Schizosaccharomyces pombe: one gene and its partner. The protein of the gene in region 1 interacts with the protein of each later gene in a biochemical or structural test. Each region holds a gene or a part of one and is shown on either strand. Other genes may lie near its edges.

Region 1 (6,706 bases):
GATGAGTACTCGAAGCGAAGGAAAATCGCTAATATGTGAACCAGAGACCTCTAAGGCTGTGTTTATAAATCTCAATGCCATGGCTTTAATATTATCAGAAAACTTTTGCTTGCCAAAGTCAATAAAGGAAACTAGTACACGAAAAACTTCGCGAATAGAACCAATACCGAAGGGATCGATTTCATTTGAAATCTCATCGCCTTCGGTGATTTTTTTGTAATGGAACTCCTCTCCTTTGATAGAGTGTTCTTCGGATGCGTCCCAAAAATCTTCACTATCCGTTTTCACATCAATGTACTTCAAGCGTTCAAATATCTTTTCAAGGATAGATGTCATCGATAATTCAGCACTATAGCGTAAAACTTGGGAAAGCCTAGACTGGCAACACATACTGAGCCCTGTTTCAACAATTTCGCAAATAGAATCATCACTCAAAACAGCTTTTCCAGGACCTCTTAACAATTCTTCCATTAGCCTAGAAACTCGCAACAATACAGCCTCATCCTGTGAAGCATCGAAGCTCTCAAAACGGCATTGAGTAATAGCAAACGATAGATTACGCATTGACAGTGCTAAATTGGGTGATTCTTCAGAAATGATTCGAAAAGAAAAGAATTTGAGTATAGCTGATAAACATAAGCTAGTTATATAACCTGTCATTCGTGGGGACTTGATTGTCCTCAAAAACGGAGAGAGAAGCTTTAAACTATCGTATCCATTTAAGCTAGCACGGTTCGTCAAATCTTCTTTTAACTGTGAAAACTCCATAACCAATGGATATCGGATACTACTGCTTTTTTCGCCATTTGTTTTCCATCGGCTTTCTAAACCATCAGCCAGAAATTCGTCTTTAAGTGTTGAGACTCCTAAAATGGATGCAACACCAGAATTCCTCCATCTCGTGGTTTTTCTAATTGCCGTCACGACAGTTATAATTTCATTGATCACCAAGGAGGACGGTGAAATCGAACATAACGGCTCTTGGTTAGGAGATGCGCGAGGCACTTCCATAGCCCTTCTGTAGCTACTAATCAAGAGTCTTTATAAAAAGTAACTTGAGGTGTTTACTATTGTAAATAGCGTAGAGGTTTAGTCCTGAACAGTCTCACCCTTCCTTTGGTGTTGAACGGATTTCAGCAGATATGCTTCAACATATTAACATTGCTTAACGTATCACTATACTAATTTACCTGGGTTATATGTTTGAAATAAACATAGATTAATCTGATAAATGTCTAGATCAGGAAAATGAGTATATATTTTTCGGTAGGATCCAATAGTATTATCAAATTTAGTGAATAAAAGTACAAAAAAAGAGTGTAAAGATTAAAATAACAAATCAGGGTTTCTACGGTATGCAGTGAGGAAAAAAAAAATACACCAATTTCGTGAATTAAAGTAGTGCTTCAACAATTAATGTCAGGTCTGTTTCAAAAATACGCCTCACTGATAAAACTTATAAGAGATCGTTACGAATCTTTTATAACCTTAGTTCGGAACATCGCCATTGCTCAGTAGAGCATCAATGTCACAGTTAGGGTGTATTGAAAATACGCGTTCTTCAAAAGGAAGCCTCACGGCGCTGTCAGTTAAATTTTGAATTTCCATGATGATCGATTCGTGAACAAGCCTGGTTAATACCTTACGCACAAGACCAACCTCATAGATGATGTCTTCCTCGGTATGGAATTGGTCTTCCCTAAGCTCGAGATATGACTGAACTAGGTCTCCCGCTGGTACTCCATCTACACCTTCAGTAGAGCGCTGGCGTAAAACCTGTAATATTCCGTTCATAATCGAAACATATTTGTCGTAAGTAATTTTTACTTTTGGTTTCTGCAAAGCTTCTTCCGAAGAAACATTATCATTGCCATTTGTTGTATTAGTATTATCATTCTCAAGTTCTTGGGCCTCTGCATCATCTTCTTCAACCTCAATATCATCTCTTTCCACATGGATAATTGATTGACGTAATAAAGAGTATGCTTCGTTGACAAATGCAGGAGTAATATCATCTACACAGTTTGCTCTTGCAATGGCTTCTGATAGACGAATCATTGACTCCAGTTGTCGCACGGTAATACGATATGAATTTTTACCAGCACCTTGCGCGTCATCCATCCGCAATTGCTTGTACTTTTTAACAATTTCGGCACAAGATTCTGTATTTAACTTTGGTTTGAAAGTCCTTGCATATCTGATATATCGTTGAAGTTGCTCAGTACTAAATTCAGGTTGCATGGCATCATCCCGTAAACGATGAATGTCAACAATATGCTTAGCTAAATGTCTATCAACTGATTCATTGCACTCATCTAGTACAACGAAGAATAAATCAAACCGTGACATGATAGGAGCAGACATATTGATGTTATTCCGCAAAGTTGTTTTTCGGTTATAGCGGCCACCTATTGGATTTGCAGCAGCAAGGATAGATGTCCGTGCGTTTAATGTAGCTTGAATTCCAGCTTTTGCTATAGATATCGTTTGTTGTTCCATTGCTTCATGAATAGCAACTTGGTCTGACAGATCCATTTTATCGAATTCATCTATAGCACATATTCCATTGTCAGCCAACATTAAAGCGCCTGCTTCTATAGTAAAATCCCCAGTTTCTTCGTCCTTAACAACTGCAGCTGTGAGACCGGCCGCAGATGATGCCTTTCCAGAAGTGTAGATTGCACGAGGAAGAAAATTGCAAACGTATTTAAGAAATTGTGATTTCGAAGTACTGGGGTCGCCGACAATACAAATGTTCAGGTCGCCACGAAGATTTATACCTTCAGGAGTTAACTTGTGAACACCACCCATTAACTGTAAAAGAATCCCCTTCTTAATTATTTCATGACCATAAACAGAGGGAGCCAGTGAGTTTGTCAAACGAGAATAAATATGATCTGAATGCACCATCGCACGTAAATCATCAATTTCTTCTTGAGAAAGCGATTGCAAAAATTCATCTTGCTCTTCGATCCCTTGAGAACCATCCCCTCTGACATCCGCACCGCTTTTATCATTTGCATCATCTGGTTGAACCATGCAAGCTAAAAAAGATAGTTTATATGTAAGATCACGTACACCTAAAGACTTCAGTCCTGTCACACCATCTGCATCTCTACCACCAAAATTGCGAGAATCTCGATAAGCTTCTGGCTTTACACCAGGAATTCCTAGCTGTGAGACATCTGGAACGGCAATAAGAATTCCCGTAAATGCGCATTTGTCACCAGCCTTAGCCCTTTCAACAATATCTCCGCGCAAAATTACGTCCAAAGTTCGTGGCATAGAACCCGTAGGAATCTCGTTGCTATTTTCTTGAATGCGCACCTTTTGCCAGTCCTGAAAAGAAGACTGTGAAATATTGAGCCGCCAACTTCTTTTATTAGCACAAAGTTCATTAGGGCATTGAGTTGGTTCAGTATAGCGAAATGCTTGCTCAACATTTGAAACTACAGTGTGGCATTCCTCACAGATAAAAGTACCTTGTGCTAATTCAGGGCGTACTTCAGAAGTACGAGTAACTGTACCTGTAATAGTCGTGAGTCTACCGATACGATCTGTTCGTAAGTCCCGAATTGTGGATCGAAAGGGTAAATTGTAAAATGCAAGAGCAAATGTTTTGTCACTGGCTTTAAAGTTCGGTGAAAGTGAAGCATTTTCACGAGAAAGAGAACTTCTATAATATTCTGGTTCAAACTTTTCAATCAACTTTTGTAAAGCTCGAAGTAAGAAAGGAGAAAATCGATAATATTGCTCAACTATCGCAAGAGCTAACACATCATTGTACGAGGTTAAATGCTTATAATCAACGTAAACGGTATGAATCTCATACATTGCCAATCCATGAATCTGTTGAACATAATATTTCTCTTGTGATGCAGAAGGGAGAGCATCACCTCCAGCAACGCGGTCATCAGAAAATGACAATAAAAACTCTTCAAAGGCTTCACGTACTGATTCTCCGGTTGTATCAATTACCTTTGGTATGGCTTCTCCTATAGCAGCAAAAGGTTTCCTTTTCACCATTCCATCATCCTCGAGCATAGCACTCGACTCAGGTTGTGAAGGCATACTTACAGTTGGCCTGTCCCCAACTTCTGAAGTTTGAAACCCATAACGATATGCAGGAGTTGAAGCATTATTACCCTGAGATGCAAGAGAAGACATCTTCAAGTGTAGTGCTCCCTATTATCAAAAAACTGCAACTACAGGTTTTTGGTCAAAGGATAGCAATGTTTATTTTGAAACGTTTATTTCTGTGGTTGCTTTGGTGCGCTAGAAATCGCAATTTAGAATTGCAAATTACAGTATTATACCTTATTCGTTTCAATTAACAATATGTGTTAAAAAAACCCAGTCTGAACATTATACCACATATTCCAATATATACTATGGTAAGAAAAAAATTCTTGAATTATCTCTATTCTATGCTTCTTTCATTTATTAACGATTGTAGGCAGACAGGTTGCGCTCTCAAGCAAAACTAGAACAGTTACAAGCGCGTTATGTTGGTGTCGGTAATGCGTTTACCACCAAATAGTAAGTACTAATCGGTTTATTTGACAAATGAATTTTCGCTCACCATATAAACTAGTGAATGGATGGTAAATCAGCACCGGGATACTTTGTCTTCTGTAGTGGGGCATCCACCGTTGCTCGCATATATGGCAACGGCGCTCGGCGAACCGAGAGTCCAAGTTCGCAAAAACCTATTAGAAAAAATGATCATGCCATGTGGACCACCTCCCCCTTCTAATCAATTTTAAAGTGTTGTGTTTACCTGTTGCCCAAAATTAATGTCGTTAAACCTTCGCTCGTCTGAGACTTTGTTTGTTTAAGATAAACAGTACCTACTAGGTTATTACAAAATAATATATATATATATATATATATATATATATTAATTGAATTATATGCAATGCTACATTGATTATTGTTCATTGTAACAACGCAAGACATTCCCTAGTCGTTACCTTCAAAGTAACACGAATAAGTTTTAGCTATTTATCTCATTTACTACGAAAGCCTCCTTTGGAGTAGTTTACTTAAATTGGCTATATGTTGAATATTTTCATGCAAACTCTGTAACAATAAATACATTATATGTTGCATGAGATTATTTTGTTGCTCGCAGGGAATACTTCTGGCCTGTTTATTGAGAAAAATGGTCAAATACTACTGCATCCATCTGTTCAACCATTACACCCTGGTGAACGAGAATTAATTAATGACATAGTATCTTTGGCAAGTAAAAGGAAAAGGATAGAACGATATATTGAAATTTTTGATGAAGATTTGATTCAGCAAAACCAGTTTCTTCTTAAAGCTCTTAGACTTCTGCTTTCGAAAAAATTATTTCTTTATGATGAAAGTCTAGCTAATTTAGAGCGGATGATTATATCCAGCGATCCTTATTTTGTAGGTTCCGGAAAATTCGTATCCTTGGCGCAATTAGAAGCGCATTTAGCAGATTGGAAAGAAACTTTATCTAGTCTGCTAGTACTTCAAGGTAATATTTCTCAATGCTTGAGTGTAGCTTCTACGTTTCAAAAGCTGCATAATATGTATATGGGCTCTACTCATTTGAATTTTAAAAAGCTGGTTTTAGAGTGTGAATGTGCTTTTCAGAAGACTTGGCTTGACGAATTAGTGCAGTATTTGGTAAATGATTCCGGCGATGACAGCTTCAAATGTTCGTTTTTATGCGGTGATACTAAAGATTTTGTATCTTGTAGCAATAATGTCCCTTTTTTGACCCAAGACATCGTTAATTGCTTAGTTTCAATACGAACGTGTATGCTCAATGCAAAAAAATGTTTCACAGACGCTTTCTGTGAAATTCTTAGATGTTTCTACAGACTGGTATATGAAATGCCTTTGCCTTTAACGAAATCTTCAGTGACAAAATTAGCAGATGAAATGTTCACTCTGGTATCAGAAAAAATAATATTTCAATTAGCTTCGTTTCATCAGATTTTCGATTTGGTAAAAATGCTAGAGATGGTGATGTTACTTGAAAATGTTGAGTTTCTTCCAACATTATCTGAAATGTTCAGAGACGTTCGTGGTGAATATTGCAGTTCAAATGACGTTCAAGGGGTAGTAATTGATGATATTTTACCCGTTGTTTTAAGGAAAACTATTTCTTTACTTGATCTCGCTACTGAATATGGAGAATGTGTATCTTTTCTAAAACTTGTAAGTATCTTTGATGAAGAAGATGAAATGATTCGCTCTGAGAATCGTAAAATCGATGTAGAGGGACTCAATATGCAACTGTTATTGTGTTTAAAATGGCCGTTCAATTTGTTTATGGATAAAAATGCTTTAAATGTGTATTCCGATTTATGGATACTACTAGGTTCTTTACACTTAAGTATAACTAAAATCAAATCCCTTTTTTACGAAAGAAAGGAGTATACTGCCAAAGGTATTTCTCAACCATGGACTCAATTGTGGGTGACTTTATGGTTCTTATCATCTTTACAATATTATGCCTACGAATGTGTTATAAAGCCGTCATATTGTAAATTACGGGAATCTCTTACTGAGTTATATAGAACACAAAAGTTACGTATGCAAGACTGTTCTCAATTGCATGCTTTAACGTTGACTTACGCTAAGAAAATGTTGTTTTTTTACGATGATGATTTACACATTTCTTTAAACTCGATTTACCATGAGCTTTCTTTATTTCGTAGTCAAG
Region 2 (4,945 bases), on another chromosome or scaffold:
GTGCATTGAATTGTTCCAAAATGTCATAAAAGGGACTTTTTCGAAATCGTATTCGCGAATGAACAACTGGGGCGAAAGGACGGCTGTATGATCTATTTCCAGAAGCTGAACTAGGTGGAGCAATTGGAGCAGCAGCACTATATATCTGATATGTGTTGTACTTTAAGATACATACGGCACTTGTAACATCGCCATCGATTGCCTTTTTCAATGCTTCCCAAGAGGTTGTGTTGTTTTCTATAGCTATCCTCTCTATTAGTTGTTTAATTCTGGTAATGAGCTCAGCTTTTGTTCCTGAAAGACGAAGTCCAAAAACACGAAGTATATCTTTCAGTTGAGGTATAATAAGACCAGTTTCCAGTCGCTTTAGTACATTCTAAACATTCATTTTGTTAGTTAACTTGTAAATATCTTATTATTGGGCTTACTGGAAGCTCCTGTAAAAAGTTCGCCTGGTTCATTGAGTTTTTAGACTGCTTGCCTAAACCGTCGATTTACACATATGTTATATGCAATGACTGCTTCCGTATAGGTATTTGAAAGACAAAGAAATCAAATTTTAGCTAAAAATACAATGAATTATATTTATTCCTTGAATCTCTGCAAACGCCTGGTTGGCAAAACTTGAATTTAATATTTGAAGATAAGGAAGTATATGGCAGTGCGGTATGTGATAATGTAAGAAAACAAAAAAAAAACGGGCAAGTGAGCTTTACTTGTAGTAATAATTAAATAACAATATAAATGAACTTTTGATGAATTTGATCGAATGAATGAGGAAATTAACTTGGAAATTCCAAAAAGACATGAAAAGTAATTTCTAACATTGGTTAAATGATGTTGATTATAAGAAAATATGCGATCAATCAGTTGACAGTCCAATGATTGATTAGACTACGGGCAGCCTCAAAATCAATTCTTGAAACCAGTTGACGACCGAAACTCTTCGCGTAGAGACGAGAGCAATTGATCTGTAATGAAAGTGTTTTTTCATTGATTTCTTTATTATATTGACGGGAGCTCACATATGTAGATTGAATATAATCCAGCATGTTTTCGGGAATATTAGCACGCATGTTCCACATGTGAAAAAAATTACAAAACTCTTGCAGCTCATCCGAATCAGTTGGAAATTCAATAGTGTCCGGAGAATCGCCTCTACATCTACAACCGACATCAGCTGGCAAAATAGATCTTCCATGGCTTAATATAATTATTCGAACATTACTGTGAACGGTAAAAGAACTGAAAGGATAAAAAAATGTTAAATCCTGTTGAGATATTAGGGAAGACAAAAACTGAACGTTACGGCATCCGACATCGTTTAAGGTTCCACTCGATAGTTCAGTTTCATCAAGAACTATAAGGGTGCCAGGAGCCACTTGCAAATGGCTAGTATCTAATGTCTCTCCATCACTCAAGGGATAAAGCGGCTTCCTGTTAAGCTCGGCGACATTAACTTTTTGAATCACCATTCTTTTTATCAAAGGCCGTAACACAGAAACTAACTGGGACACTAATTCAGAGGTGCAATTTGTTAAATTTAAAGTAAAACCACCTATAACCAAACCAGTGGTTTTATGAACAACGTTGGAAAGAAGAGCAAGCATAAGACTTTCCGCAGCTATATTTTCACCAAGGACTTTTTCAAAATATTTTAATATTTTTGGTCGAATGATCTCAGCTTGCTGAGGAGAAGGGGCTTGAGTAGCTGATTGCGTATAATCCTTAAAACATAACATGTGTAAAATGGGTAAACCATCCGAGTATTCACTTGGTTCTTCATAAATTCCAATAACATCGATTGCTTGACAAACTTGAACTTTAGTTTCCATTCCGCCATAGCATTTAACACAAACGCCGGTATCATTACTTGCTTGTAAGCGGTTTGAGTACTTCAATGACCGTTCTTTCAGACTCTCGCTTCCCCAGTTTCCCAAAGCTTCTATAACAGGAAGAGTTCTTTCTCCAGGAACATTTGTCAGAAACAGTGAATATCTTTCATCTAGGACAATTTTAGATTCATCTAAATGCATTTCATCTTCGCTGAAATCAAGTATGTATCTACAGCCTCTCCAAATGTTTTCATTTACCTCTACAGCTCCAGCAAAAAATTCATGCCCAAAATTGGTGTCTTGCACCATACCTTGAAGACGAAGTAGTTGACCAGTCTTTAACTCAGACCATTTGCAGTCAAGATAGTTTGGAATCTAAATATTCAGTGTCAAATAAGAGAAAAAACCACTTAACAAACCTTTCTTATTCTTTCCTCTGTAGCGAAAATATTAGAAACTTCTTCATCGATGCCTAAAGTGCCTTGTAAATCGGGCTTAGATCCTGCAAACAATGCATCCTGAAATCTTTGAAGAAACGATCTTGGATTTTCGATAAAAGAATCAGATAAAGCAATTACCATATTATAAATATATAATTTTATCCTTTAAACCTATTGAAACCAGTAATGATAAAAGATGTTGATATTGCAATGTGCAATGTTCATTTCACGTGAGCGGATTGACTTTAAGTACCCTTTTCTATGGCGTTGCATATACCTAACGATGTACTAATTGCTGTATAAATTCGCTTAATAAGAAGCTTAATTTATTAAGAAACAGAAGGCGTGAATTTAAAGAGTTATCTATTGCTTATTACTACTCTTAAAAGAGAAAAATATTAGAATTTTACAGATTATTGATCGTTTTTGTAATAATATAAATATATTGATGTGCTTGTTTTCATCATTTGTGTCGATTGTACAAACATATATTTTAAAGCTAGCTTTGATAGTGCATTTAAGAATAAAAAAAATTTTCAGATTTACATATTAATGCTCTTTTCTATTCGCGATGGGTGAAGTGACTACCATGCAGTGGTTAAAATACTCAACAAATTTACTAGTTCACTGGAACTCAGTACTGATGTTACTAGTTCAATAACACTGAATATGAGTAATGCAGTATCATCATCAGTATTTGGAGAGAAAAATAACTCTGTAGCTTATGAGCTGCCATGGTATGTATATATTATGAGCAATTAAAACGTCCTTTATGAAGGTTTTAGTGTTCAGCTATTACGATTGCTTCTTGGTGACTCAGGCATCTTTTCATAATTTAAAGGTTCAATATAATATAGTATGCTGATCTATAAACTTATAGGGTCGAAAAGTATCGTCCAATCGTCCTGGATGACATTGTTGGTAACGAGGAGACGATTGACCGACTTAAAGTTATTGCCAAGGAAGGGAATATGCCTCATCTAGTTATTTCGGTAACCTATTTTTTTTTAATTATTATTTATACTACATGCTGACTTATATTTATAGGGAATGCCTGGTATCGGAAAAACGACGTCTATTCTTTGTTTAGCACATGCATTACTTGGCCCAGCATATAAGGAAGGTGTATTAGAATTAAATGCTTCAGATGAACGAGGTATCGATGTAGTGAGAAATAGAATTAAAGCATTCGCACAGAAAAAAGTCATACTGCCACCTGGAAGGCATAAGATCATTATTTTAGACGAAGCAGATAGTATGACGGCTGGAGCTCAACAAGCTTTGCGTAGAACTATGGAAATCTACAGTAATACAACGCGTTTTGCACTTGCTTGCAATCAATCCAACAAAATTATTGAACCTATTCAATCGCGGTGTGCAATTCTCCGATACTCACGTCTTACGGATCAACAGGTTTTACAGCGTTTATTGAATATATGTAAAGCGGAAAAAGTCAATTATACAGATGATGGTTTGGCTGCCCTTATCATGACAGCAGAAGGTGATATGCGTCAAGCAGTGAACAATCTACAGAGCACTGTTGCTGGATTCGGTCTTGTGAACGGTGAAAACGTTTTCCGGGTCGCCGATCAGCCTTCACCTGTAGCGATACATGCCATGCTAACTGCTTGTCAATCTGGAAACATCGACGTCGCCCTTGAAAAACTTCAGGGAATATGGGATTTGGGGTTCAGTGCTGTGGACATTGTCACTAATATGTTTAGAGTAGTAAAGACAATGGACAGTATTCCGGAATTTTCAAGATTAGAAATGCTTAAGGAAATTGGCCAAACTCATATGATTATTTTAGAGGGTGTGCAAACCTTGTTGCAGTTAAGTGGTTTAGTATGTCGCCTTGCTAAGTCACAGATGAAGCCGGAGTCTTTTATTATTTAGTTTAATGGCACCAGTCTTGGTTCAAAGTCTTGATGATTATTAAAATCAGTAATACCCCAAGTCATATAAAATATCAAAACCCCTAACAATAGTAACGTGTAATAAATCCTAGTCTGATTTCTGTTTCCAATTTTTCCGTACAAAGTTGGCAGCCCCATTGAATTACAAAAAGCATGTACTAAAAATGAAGGAAATAAGCTATGCGTGGAAAGGAATAGATGTGTTGTATACCATCCAAAAACTGTGGTGTATGAAAACTGAACAACAGTTTGAAGAGCGGCAGCTATATATGCATTCGGATAGGCAAGTAGAAATTCATAGGTATGATGAATATGCGCCATTCCAAACAGCAGAGGCGCAACAAATATAATTTTAAGCCTTGACCACCCAGCAGCTTCACAAATTGGTACTATGCAACATCTAAATGTAAGTTCTTCAGAAAGAGGACCCTAAAAAGACTTGTGAGAATGTGGAGTGATAAAGAAATTAATGATACTTACAATAATAATGTTTCGCCAAGCAATCGCATTCGACAGGCAGTCTTTCAAATGTATAAAGAAGAGTCTATATTCTTTGTCAACAATCCAAACTTCATACAGGGGCCCAATAAATATAGTTGCTGCGTGTAGTAAACTTTTCAAAACTTGGTCTGTCGGGAAAGTGAATACATTCAATGAAGGGCCAATGATCAACCTTGTTAAAATACAACATACAGATGATGCTAATAAGACACTTATGCAACGTGCCGTAATAACTTTCGGGTCATTCCGATTA

Evidence for each region. Proteins that work in one complex are often made in the same cells at the same time.
Region 2: the proteins of mcm6 (region 1) and mcb1 form a complex in vitro, tested with the Schizosaccharomyces pombe proteins (one study listed by BioGRID).

The regions. Positions count from the first base shown.
Region 1 is NC_003423.3:3,878,830-3,885,535, forward strand, and holds mcm6 (MCM complex subunit Mcm6), read right to left. Parts: upstream 4,229-6,706; 5' UTR 4,168-4,228; coding exon 1,489-4,167; 3' UTR 1,269-1,488; downstream 1-1,268. Other genes in the region: gea1 (guanyl-nucleotide exchange factor), read right to left, coding at 1-1,011; sap10 (splicing factor 3B), read left to right, coding at 4,392-4,394, 4,457-4,539, 4,595-4,766; gamma tubulin complex GCP4 subunit Gfh1, read left to right, coding at 5,104-6,706. UniProt on the Schizosaccharomyces pombe protein: Acts as a component of the mcm2-7 complex (mcm complex) which is the putative replicative helicase essential for 'once per cell cycle' DNA replication initiation and elongation in eukaryotic cells.
Region 2 is NC_003424.3:904,355-909,299, reverse strand, and holds mcb1 (mini-chromosome maintenance complex-binding protein mcb1), read right to left. Parts: upstream 2,504-4,945; 5' UTR 2,417-2,503; coding exon 2,255-2,416; exon of another isoform or gene 2,211-2,254; coding exon 867-2,210; 3' UTR 501-866; downstream 1-500. Other genes in the region: SUMO E3 ligase Pli1, read right to left, coding at 1-376, 429-461; DNA replication factor C complex subunit Rfc4, read left to right, coding at 2,945-3,012, 3,156-3,267, 3,323-4,171; rce1 (CAAX prenyl protease), read right to left, coding at 4,168-4,620, 4,672-4,945.